Linked DNA regions of Drosophila melanogaster. Changing the gene in region 1 together with any one later gene gives a genetic interaction. Each region holds a gene or a part of one and is shown on either strand. Other genes may lie near its edges. The genes, in order: Vps39 and l(2)gd1.

Region 1 (5,614 bases):
AGAGCCTGCAGCAGCTCCACCAGCAACACCACGCTCAGCAGCAGGCCACCCTGAGCTTTCAGCGGGAAAAACTCAAGTCGGGTAAGCAGGTGTTTCAGTCGATGAATAACCCATGATTTGATCATAAGTGGGTATTAAGTAAACATAGTGTGTGCACATCTAATACCTCCATTTGATCATCATTTTGTGATTCGGCAGATTCTCACAAGAAGAGCGCACTGAAGAACAAGCGCGTCCGGACAATCTTCACGCCGGAGCAGTTGGAGTGCCTGGAGGCGGAGTTCGAGCGCCAGCAGTACATGGTCGGCCCGGAGCGGCTCTACTTGGCACACACCCTAAAGTTAACGGAGGCTCAGGTGAAGGTGTGGTTCCAGAATAGGCGGATCAAGTGGCGCAAGCACCACTTGGAACTGACACAACAACGGCTGGCATTGATAAGGCAAACTCAACTGCCAGGTACATCGTTATTGGGCAATCAAGTATCCGTGTCGGCCAATGCGGCCCATTCTGTGTCCACGGAACGCACAAACGGATGCAGTGCAGCCTCGCCCAGCCTGCAGGAGGAGGACAACGAGGATAGCAAGCACTCGCTGTCGCTTTCGGGCGCATTACCGCCGTTGAGTCGAGCGCAGTCCGAGTCGGATTTGTCCATCTGTAACGATTCCCTGGACGGCGACAGCCTCATGGACGGCAGCGAGGAGGCCTAAAAACCACGCCAGTGCAAAGCAAGTTTCCTGTAAATATAGTCAAATAAATATGTACAATATCGGTTTTCTATACTTCTGCTTGTCTTTAATTGTTGATGATTAGCTGCAAGTTGATTGTTACAATCAATCAATGCAAACTATATTATATTGTATAAGCATTGCAGTATATCCATTACATACGAGTACTGAAAAAGCTTATTTAAAAACAGAATAATACAGACATTTACACTCAATTCGCACTTTATACCTTGATCAGTTATCACATTGGAGTATTTCACTTATTGCTGAGCAGCCGCCCTGGCGAGCCGATCGTGGCAGGATAGGTGCACGATGTGCCCATTTGGATAGCGCACGAAGGCGGACTGGGTTTGAAAACGCTTCTTGCACTCGGAACACACACTAGACTCGTTTAACTCGAAGCTAATGTTTCGCTGCTCCTCCAAGGCATTCTCCAGGCGCGTGGACTCTGCCTCCAGGAAGCCGCACATCATCTGCATCTCGTGCTTGTCGGCCATCATTTTACGTATAGATTTCTCCAAGTATTTCTCCAGCTGGGGCATGGGCATGTCATCGGGAAGGTGCTGCAAAATCCAAAATGGTTGAGAAATATTTCTAATAAGTCATGCATTCAATGCATTCTTCACCTCGAAGATCTCGAATGGATCGATTCTGGTGGCGTGGGTGTTAAGTATTTCCAGGGCCACCTCTCGATTCACTTGCGAGAAATCCGGATGCAAGGGCACACCATCATAGAGCGGTTGAGTTGGTGGTATTAATATGCACTTAATGAGCGTGTGAAATATGTGCTTGTCCTCTTTGTAATGGGCTTCCGCATAGGCCGTTGCCTTGGCCACATCTCCGAGAACATGAATATAGATGGACAGGACGTTGTCGTGCTTTTTGAGCCTGCCCAGGATTAGGGCACGCTCCTCCAAGAGTATATTGGTTGGAAATTCCTCTAGGAGGCGATCCGGCGAATAGTCGTTGGACTCCTCCAACATCTTGTAGAGCTTGGCTCGCATCGGAATGAGTTCGGGAACTTCCTCTCTAGAAAACAGGTGAGTATAAGCATTTTGATCCAGTACAATGACAGACTCTCACCCTTTTTCCTGCTGAGCAAGAAGCCGTTGCACCTTTTCGCGATACTGCTTGAGGAGCACATTGTGGAGCAGGGTGTTGCCGTCCTTCCATTCAGTGATTACGTGCTCCAAATAGGGAATGACAAGTGCTTTGTGCTTGCTAATAAAAAAATCAAGAACTTTGGCGCGCGGCAGGGATTCCACTTCAATAAGTTCGTCGGTGAAAATGGTTAGGCCTTCCTCGGGATTATCGTTTAAGACCCAGTCAGCGAACTCAAAGATCAGCGGCAGATGATCACCACCCAGCTCCTGAAGATAGCGTATGGTACGCTTGCGACCCTGCAGCACAGATCCTTCGATGCTCGCCTGCTCTCGAAGCAGTTTAAGGGCCTCCTTGTGCTTGCCCTTCATCTGGTAGAGGATGATAAGTTCAGAGATCTTGTTGTGCTTCTTCAACGTCTTTTCCGACTCCTCTAAGTGGCACTGGTTTAGGCGTAGCAGTGGTGCCACCAGAGAGTCGTTTGTCTGCAGGTAACACTTCAGCAACGTTGTATCGATGATCTCCAGCAGGGACTTTGAACTACTTTTAGTGTCGCGCAGCTTGACCACCTCCCGCTGTCGGGCCCATGCCAGATACTCGATCAGTGCCAAGTAGGCGTTCTCCAGGTCGCTATCCTCAAGCGCCGGAGTACTGGACGTAGGCACGGTGACATCTTCGGTGCCGGGCTTTGGTTCTGGCACCAAGTTTGGGAACAGTCTTATCACATCGTAGGGATCTATAGCCGCCTTTTCAAACTCCTTCATGGCCGCCGAGAACTCCTTATTGGTAAACAGCTCTTTCGCATAGAGCATGTGTATCTGGCGAATGGTTTGGGCTCGGTCCGCGGCAGGTTCATCGGAGATTTGCTGAACATAAAGTTTGTTGTAGTCGTCGTATTTTGATTTCGTTTATCGGACTCACCGTCAGCTCAATAGCCAGTTGGAATTTCTTTTGCTGTAGCAACTGCTGACGCTGGATAGGGATTTCCACCATTCGAATGCACCAAAGCTCGGAGGTGGCGGCGGCAAAGATGGTTCCCTTGTCGGCGTGAACCAGGAATTTCGTCTTCTGTAGCTCGGGAATGGTCTGGACCAGGGTGTCCTTGCCCACTAGGCTGCGCACCTCGATGGCGTTGTTGACACGACCCACAGCGAATGGCTCATCCCAGACTGTAATGAAGATAATGTGATTTAGAAATTGGCTTGAAGTGAATAGTGAGTATCGTACCCAGATCTAAAAGCGGACTTGACCAGAGCAGAGGAGTTAGGGAACTATTGCTGTCCATGGCAGCTGGCCGGACATCTGTTGAGTTATTGATTCCATCCGATTCTTTGTACTGACTCGGATCTACTACGACGAGGTAGCTGTCCTTAGAGATGCCCAACATGTTGTTCCGGATAAGGCAAATGCAGGGATCTCTGCTGATACTAGAGGAGGTAAGGAAGAGGTTGTGCTTCTTTGGTGCTTTTCCTGATATCTAGAATTGGATATGCAGACCTTTAAAATACGAAGTAAATCGACTTTAAAGCATTTCTCACATCGTAAACAACATATTCGTCTTTGAAGCCCACGCAGACAGCATGGCCCACCCAGCACAGTGTCCTGGGCACATCGCTGAGCTCGATGATCAATTCCAGGGAATTAAGCTTGTCCTCCTTCCAAAAGAAGAACACAAGACGCCGCCGGATAGCGCAGCACACCCGTATGACGGTGGCCACACGTCCGGTTGTGGACTTCGGCGTGTCCACGTCCATGGTGAACAGGGTGCATCCCTTCGTGTCGGGCGCACTGTGCATGAAAGCGAAGTTGCTCTCAATCCGCCGAATGTCGCACACCTGCACCTGTAAGTCGGTGAGTACGAAGAGCAGGTTCTCCGAGGCAATCACTTCCATTTGGGTGATCGGTTTCCGGCTGAAGTTCTTGTTGAACATCCGCATGTCCACGCCCGTCTCCTCGTCCACAGAGTACATGATCAGCTGTCCGCTGCGGGTGCCCAAGATGACATGGTTGCCTGAAAAAATGCGTCCGGTGAGTAATAGCTGTGCACCGAAAATTCCACTCACCATATGCCGCAATTGACTCTATCTGCACGCCCTGTTTCAGGATCGAGTGAACACTGTAGGCCTGGTGCATCTTGGCCAAGTGGAAAAACTTCGGTCTCCTCCGCCTCAATTTATTTTCGTAAAAAAGCTTATAAACAAACCAGATGGGAGTACCACTAATGATAGCTGATGATGATAGATATCGATAGCTTTAGCGGTGGTAAATCGATTTCTTCCTCTTATGGTGATAGCGAAATAACTTAAATATACAAAGTAGAAAATAAAATTTGTACATGTTATAATTTAAGATTCAATCGCTAATGACTAAAAAGTTGAGTGAAATTTTAAATTACGATACTTTAAACGAATGCTGCCAGACTCTGCATTGCTGTCGATAGCACCAGTTCGATATACTGGTTCCCCGCGAAACCGTCCACCTCTAGTCCTTTTCACTTTAGCGAGGCGAAATTGTCACATTTACATTTGACAAAATTGTAAGTTTTGAAACAACTCTGTCGCTTTATTTCGGGTTGAATGTTTTCATTGCATTACTACCCACCCAGTGAAGTCGTTGAGTAACAGTTTTACCCCGTTCCCGCTCCAGGGTCGCCAACAAGCCCGCAGACAGCAACAACATCGAAAGTAGCTGCACAGCAACAACAGCAAACAGCCAAAATGCCCAAGAATAAAGGAAAAGGAGGCAAGAATCGTCGTCGTGGTAAGAACGAGAACGAGTTCGAGAAGCGTGAGCTGATCTTCAAGGAGGACCAACAGGAGTACGCGCAGGTGACCAAGATGCTGGGCAACGGTCGTCTGGAGGCAATGTGCTTTGATGGCGTCAAACGCCTGTGTCACATTCGGGGGAAACTTCGCAAGAAGGTGAGTGCTGCTCTGACTACGCTCTTTGTTTCGCCTGTGCTCTCTTCGCTTGCGTTGAGTGGGTGCCCCTCTCTAAGGTGGCTCTCTTAAGCCATTTTGGCATTGATTGCCAGCGAATGCTACGTATTTACGTTATTGTTTTTGTTGAAATGCAGGCAGTTTTTGTGATTTTGGGGGATTTTGCATTACCCTGCTAACTTTCGACCTTTCTATACCTAATTTTCAACTCTCTTTTTCTGCAATTCTCTTTTACTGGTCCATTATTGAGTGGGTGTCATCGTCCTTGTGCGAATGCATTAACAAAAGAGCAGTGGGCGGTGTGGACGGGGCGGCTGATTAATAATACGCAAGTGCCTATGCACTGATGTATGTATGTAGATGAAAGCAAAGCAATAGCACTGCAAATACAGGGTGACCGCCGATACTTAATTCTTTCAAATAATTCGATTTGAAATGTAAAAAGGCGTAATACTTAAAATAAGTACTATTCTGTCGAGGTTATAGTCAATTTCACTTTACTGTCTACTTAAAACCATATGAAATTTAATTTTATTGATACAATATATATCATTTTAAACAATAGAAGTATGATATATCATATAAGTATATATATATATATCATAAGAAGTATGATATATATAGTCAGTTTTCACTTCAGCGATTCTGAAACTAAGCTAGTGAAAAAGTTTTGCTACGCACTTTTTTTTTCAATTTTTTCATGGTAGTACACCTTACGCAAAATTTTGCGTATATCTTTTGCATTTGAATTAGCTATTCAGTTACATGTTTTCAATTGCGAATACAGCCTCCTTTATAGCACTAATTTGGGTGGTCAAACTGCATTCCATGAAATACCATACGTCCGCA
Region 2 (6,379 bases), on another chromosome or scaffold:
GCGGGTAACGTCACACAACTGCCAAATGTGACGTAGCTCCTCCACAGGAATGCGGCTCTTTTCAAAAAAGTTTCTAATAAAAAAAGGAATAAGAAAATAATAAGAAGAATAAAGTTATAAACGTTCCTAAAGCCAACTTACCTTGCTGCTTGGCCCGAAAGCAGACCATGCGGATCCCTTTGCACCGTCCTGAACTGCTTATTATAGTACTCGCGCTGTTCCGGGGTTATCTGGTAAATGGTCACCAATTCGCTCTCGTTGTCATCGTCGTCGCTGCTGTGGCGATCGGAAGACTCTTCCTCCGTGCCTAGCAGCTGGCGATGCTCGTCGCCCAGCAAACCCTGCCAGAGGGTGTCCTGCGCCCAAGGCCGCTCAGCCACGCTGTTGGTGGGCGTGGGGCTGTCACTGTTAGTGCTCCAGGCTTCTGGCGATCCACCACCAGTACCGCCTCCTCGTCGTCGCTAAAAGAGATAAGGCATGGACGGGGATCGGTCAATGGTAAGCTTATTTACAAATGTCACAAGATAAGATAGAAGTACAAACCCCGACATTTTCGCGGCTGCTGCTGCTGACGACCCCACAGCCATCCGTACCTCGTCCATGGCCTGTCGCATCGTCCACTGATTCGTTTTGCTCAACCTCGGAGTCGGTGCTGGGCACATCAGAGGTGTCTTGCAGCTGCTCTTGCTGCGAGTTACGACGCAGTGAATTTCTGCGATCTGTGGGTGGTGGCGGTGGCAAGGCAGTCAATCCATTTTCGACAGCCACCGGAGCTGTAACCGCCTCCTTCCAGCTAAAGTGCGGTAATGGAAGCGGAAACGTGGCCAAGATCAGCTCCTGGCGCAGGGGCATGGCCGCCTGATGAGCAGCGATTAGCTTCAGGCATGAGTAGAACTGTGTCCGCGAGATGTGTAGCGCCGTGGAGGGTATCCCCGCCAGACCGGTGATCTATAAGCCCAGACCCAGATAATTAATCACTCACGATCACACAAATTGGACCTACCTCAATCACGGTCTCATTGGCGATGTCCGCCGAGCGAAAGAGCTCGGTGGCCTTAAGCATGGGCACCTTGCCTGTCTTCTCCACGTCGCAGCATTGGAACAACTCACTGTAGAAGCGCGTCTCCGGCTCAGTGAGGGACACGTCCATGCCTGTCGCCTACTTGTTGCCGTCTCTGGTTTCGTTTACCAAGCCGCTGGTTAACGAGCCACGCCCCGTTCGTCCGTCCTGGACCCGGAATCCAATTCGTTTGTTTACTTCCACGTTTAACCCAGCAGGCCAGTGCCGACCCCGCTGCCCCGCGCTGCTCACAACCAGAAGTCTGATGATTTTCTGCCTTTGGCCCCCAAGACGGAGTTGGAGGAGGTGGAAGCTGGGAGAACTGCGGGGACGATGGTTTCGCTAACTTCTTGGTGCCACCACAACCACGATGGTTAGAGGATTCACGGCACTGGTCGACGAGGGTACACCTAGTGCCTCAAGCTGCTCGGCGCACAATCAATTTGGCTTTTTGTCCAGGTTTTTTTTCGCAAACTCTTTTGCACTGTGTGTGCGCTGGCTCTCGATATCGATAGGTTGCGGTATCGATTCGATTAGACAGCTGGCGCGGCAGCCCTGTACCTGTTAGCGTTTCGCAGCCCTAGTTACCGGCAAAAGTTTAGTTCCGCAGGATTGATGTTTTGTAAGGTGGCTTACCATGTTCATTTATATTTCATTATGGATTAAACTATAATAAAATTTAATGTTGCTGAATGAAGAAAAAATCATTTCTTCATTATTTTTAACGATATTTTTTTAACCGTCAACAAATTTCCTGTAGCCCTGTGCCACTGACGTCACCAATTCGCAAAGACTTTCCTGCGTCACCTTTCGTTGCACCACAGTGATCCCCACTCTGTTATTGTTGTCTGCGGCTGAACTGTTGCGACGCAAAAATTTAAAGGATTTGAAAGTCTTTATAGACTTATTTTAGTTAATAAACAGCCTCTGTGCAATCAAGGATGTTCTCCAGAAAGAAGCCAGAGCCAGCGAAAAGAAGGCAACACGATTTATCGCAGGTGAGAGGAAAAACAAACAGTCTAGATCCGTCTATTTATTAATTATGACTCATCGTTTGGACTGTCTTTTTTGTTTTTTGTGTTTAGTTCGGTCTTACGGAAATCCCAGATGATTTTGATCCCAGCGCTGGATATGGTGAGGACGATGGGGGTGACAGTGATTTGGAGGCAGAGCTTGCGGCCATAACCGGCGGAGAAGGAGCCAAGCCAAAGCCCAAGCCCAAAGCAAAGCTGTTACCCGCCAGTGATTTGGACAAAATGATAGCCGACAGCTTGCGTGATGTCAGCGACGATGATGATGATGACAATTTGGAAAGCGATCCGGATCTTCTTGGCGAGCTGAGCGGAATCGGTGGTCTAGAGGAGGCAGAGGAAGAGGAGCCTGTCGCACAACCGCCAGCTGCCTCTGAGGAACCCGTCCAGACCTTTCTGCCCACGACGACTGTGGACACATTAAGCATTATCAAACAGCGCCTGGAAATGTACAAGCAGGCCGAGGCCAATGCCAAGACTGCCGGCGATTCTGGCAAAGCAAGGCGATTTGGAAGAGGCCTTAAGACTCTGAAAGATCTGCACAGGCAGGCAGCGGCTGGCAAGTCCATTAACGTGGATGACATTCCACCTGAAGTCAGTGTAAAGCCAATTGGCGGGCAGGCTCCTCCAGTGCCTGCAGAGGAGTCACCAGCTCCTTCCACACCTGCTTCCCCTCCGCCTGTGCCTAGTCGTGCAGCTCCAGATCCACCAACCCCCGGCACCCCCGTGGAGCCCACTACATCTGTGGCTCCCACATCTCCCCCTAATCCTCTTGTGACGCAAATGCGCAGCCGCCAGACGGACTACAAAGCTGCTGCACTGCAATCTAAGCGCAGTGGTGACATATCTACTGCCCTTCAGTTTCTCAAAGTGGTCAAGCAATTTGACGTAGTTATAAAAATGTGTGAAGACGGACAGGAAGTTGATTTGAGTGACATGCCCCCTCCACCAGCTGAGTTTCTTGAATTCCTTAAAAAAATGCAAGAAGAAGCAGCCGCAGAAGCTGTCGCAGAACCTACTGCTGCCCCAGAACCCACACCTGTTGCTCCTGCTCCTGTTCTAGCAGCTGCAACAAATATGTTGGAGGCTCTGCAGCAACGTTTAGAGAAATATCAATCTGTAGAAGCGGCAGCCAAGGCAGAAAACAATAGCGGAAAAGCAAGACGCTTTGGAAGGATTGTGAAGCAATACGAAGATGCCATAAAGTTGTACAAGGCAGGCAAACCAGTGCCTTACGATGAGCTGCCTGTGCCACCAGGTTTTGGACCGCTGCCTACGGCTGATGCTGCTCCTGTCGCGCCGACACCGTCGCTGCCCACTTCGCCTACATCTCCACCGCCAACAGCAAGTACTTCCGCAGGAGGAACACCCTCCAGTTCCAGTGCGACGACACCTACAGCTCCTCGAAAAGCACCTTCACCTCCTAAGCCCAAAGAGTTAACAACACGCACGTCTGGCAATCAGCAGAAGAATAATATTGCCGAGCAACAAATGAAACTGCTCCTCGAGCGCCAAAAGGAGTTTAAGCTAGCTGCTATAGAGGCCAAAAAAGCGGGAGAAATAGATCAGGCGAAGGAGTACCTCAAGATCTTCAAGGGATTCGATTCCCTTCTTAATGCAGCGAGTAGTGGATTGCCAGTGGACCTCAGCACTGTAAGTTTTGCATTACATCTTCTTCTTGTATGGCTAACTATATATTTTTTTTTTTCAGCTTCCCGTCCCGCCTTCACAAAGGGATAATCTAGAAGCCTCCTTTGCCATTGTATCTGCTGAGGAATGCGATCCGACAGATGATATCTGTGAAATTGGTGTTCGCATGGAGGAGCAGCTGGCAAAACAACTGATGATGTGCAAAAATACGCGAGATCATCACAAAGCTATGGGAGATGTAGCAGGCATGAATCGGTTTGAAAATTTAGCCTTAACTGTGCAAAAGGATTTGGATTTGGTGCGATACTCGAAACGAAAGAATGAACCACTGCCAAAGTTTCACTATGAAAAGCGTAGCTTCAACATTGTGCATTGCAACACAGATCTCACAGACAGTGAGCTTGAAATTGTTGTGGTCCGGGGAATCAGCTACAATGTGGCCAATCCCAAGGACGTGGATACTTATGTGCGCGTAGAGTTTCCCCTGCTCAATGTAAGCTAATTACCAACATTTAAAGTTTCACCAATTATTTATATGTTTTCGTTTTAAGGATGAATCTTTCAAGACTAAAACCAATGTTATCAGAGACACCAGCAGTCCTGACTACGATGAACGCTTCAAGGTTGACATCCAGCGGACCAATCGTCAGTTCCAGAGAATCTTTAAGCGGCATGGCGTCAAGTTTGAAATATACTCTAGAGGGTAAGTTGCCCGTACATAAAAGAACTGAGCTAGAACAATTATTTAATCCGTACTAAGAAGCTTTCCATGCATATTAATCTCAACTAACGGAGGCGGTATATGATCTTATTTACGCGTATTAATTTTCCAAGGAATACTTAGTAATATCCGATGAGTAGTAATCTTCTACATTTTGAAATAGCCTTAAAGACTTAAATAAAAATATATATATAATTTTAAAAAATATTTGGCATAGATCATTTTGCGAAAATTTAAAAAGCTGTTGATTGAGCTGCATACCTACTAAATATTTTTATCCAATTTGTAGGTTTCGCTTGGGTATTAATTTGCTCTTAATATTAAGTTTCAGCTCTTAATTTGAATTATTAAATTTTTCCCGTAGTAAGCATGTTCCTTTGGTCCCGTAAAACAGTATCGTACGAGTCACGGCTTCAAGCACACATATATTTCACCGTATGTGTCTACCCATTGATCTTCTTGATTGATTCTCACAAGGAACATTTTAATGAAATATTTTTACAAATTTTTACGCCTCAATTCCCAACAATTCAAACAAAAAATAAATGTCATCCAATGCTACGCATTTAATATAAATAGCTGCAGTATAGATTGTTGTGGACTAAGTCGTAAACTGCCCCTGTGTTGTTTCAGAGGTTTTCTGCGATCGGATACGTTGATCGGAACCGTAAATGTCAAGCTGCAGCCATTGGAGACCAAGTGCGAGATACACGACACATATGATGTAAGTGATAACTACTATAATAAAATAATATAAACTTAAATTTAACCTATGTATTCCTTAAAACAGCTAATGGATGGTCGCAAGCAAGTAGGTGGAAAATTGGAAGTCAAGATACGCGTTCGCAATCCTATTCTCACCAAGCAAATGGAGCACATCACCGAAAAGTGGTTGGTCTTGGATGCCTAGGGCTAAACAAGAAAATTTAAATAAAATAGGAACGCGTCCCCTTGCGATTGTTCTCGATTAAGTCACTAAGTTATTTGTTTGTAAATATCCCTCACAGAAAATTCAATTTATCTAAGTATGTACGCTTTTGCCGATTCCTTCGCAGGAAGAAGGCATTTATATATTACGAACACAACACATATAATGTACTATAAATATCTTTATATATAAATAATATATGTATATATGATATTGCCGGCGTTAAGGCGAAGGCGCAAGTCCAGAAGATTGTGCCGGTGAAGTCAGTCCATTCCAAGAGAGACAGATTGAGAGTAGGATCGGTCCACTAGCGCCTAGCCGAAACCTGATTATGTTAGCTTTCACATTGCATAAATATTTTCTTTTGATTTATAAACTGTTTGTTGAACTACAACTCCAGATATTCGACTATTTGTGAGTAGGGACTGGTTTCATTAAACACATCCACACCGCGAACTTTATAGAAACCTGCCGACAAAAAAAGATTTCGGTTATGAAAGATGGAAATTTTGCAGGTTATGCTCACCATTGACGGATCCCTTATCGCCGGGCGCATACTGAAACGACGGATATGGCAGATGCCAGCCCTGTGAGATGAGCATCCAGTCGGCGGAGCGACCCAGATTATCGCGTTCCTTAAACCACACCTCGTAGCTGAGAAGGCACTGCGTGGATTTGGGGTGTTCCATCCAGCTAATGAACACCTCACGCTGAGTCACCTCTGCGATGGAAAGTTGCTGCGGTCGTCGCAGTTTGGGCCAAGATGCGGAACACACCCGGAGCAGCATCGCCCAGGGCAGTGGGATGCTGGCGGAGTTGATAACTAGCTCGCTGTTGTACTGCCAGATGGGTCCCGTCTTGTAGAGTCTAGGTGCTTGGGCTCTTCGCATCGCTTCCCTTAGAGTGGCGTTGGGATAAGCCGGACTTCCAGCTTGCTGCCATATGTAGTACGGATCCGTTTCCTTTGGCACCAGGAGCTCGGTGACGAA

The links.
Region 2: of Vps39 (region 1) and l(2)gd1, changing one suppresses a phenotype caused by changing the other (phenotypic suppression), as found in Drosophila melanogaster (one study listed by BioGRID).

What each region holds. Positions count from the first base shown.
Region 1 is NT_033777.3:18,270,395-18,276,008, forward strand, and holds Vps39 (vacuolar protein sorting 39), read right to left. Parts: upstream 4,053-5,614; 5' UTR 3,960-4,052; coding exon 3,890-3,959; intron 3,838-3,889; coding exon 3,365-3,837; intron 3,304-3,364; coding exon 3,054-3,303; intron 2,996-3,053; coding exon 2,748-2,995; intron 2,693-2,747; coding exon 1,809-2,692; intron 1,755-1,808; coding exon 1,352-1,754; intron 1,289-1,351; coding exon 986-1,288; 3' UTR 795-985; downstream 1-794. Other genes in the region: CG18599 (uncharacterized protein), read left to right, coding at 1-81, 199-707; eIF1A (eukaryotic translation initiation factor 1A), read left to right, coding at 4,544-4,747. UniProt on the Drosophila melanogaster protein: Part of the homotypic fusion and vacuole protein sorting (HOPS) tethering complex involved in endo-lysosomal vesicle trafficking and lysosome biogenesis.
Region 2 is NT_033779.5:11,105,064-11,111,442, forward strand, and holds l(2)gd1 (lethal (2) giant discs 1), read left to right. Parts: upstream 1-1,879; 5' UTR 1,880-2,001; coding exon 2,002-2,058; intron 2,059-2,145; coding exon 2,146-3,744; intron 3,745-3,802; coding exon 3,803-4,234; intron 4,235-4,292; coding exon 4,293-4,444; intron 4,445-5,041; coding exon 5,042-5,186; intron 5,187-5,252; coding exon 5,253-5,372; 3' UTR 5,373-5,778; downstream 5,779-6,379. Other genes in the region: Reps (RALBP1 associated Eps domain containing), read right to left, coding at 1-73, 142-461, 544-948, 1,004-1,150; Idua (alpha-L-iduronidase), read right to left, coding at 5,779-5,858, 5,917-6,379. UniProt on the Drosophila melanogaster protein: Phosphatidyl inositol monophosphate binding protein involved in endosomal protein sorting through regulation of the endosomal sorting required for transport (ESCRT) pathway.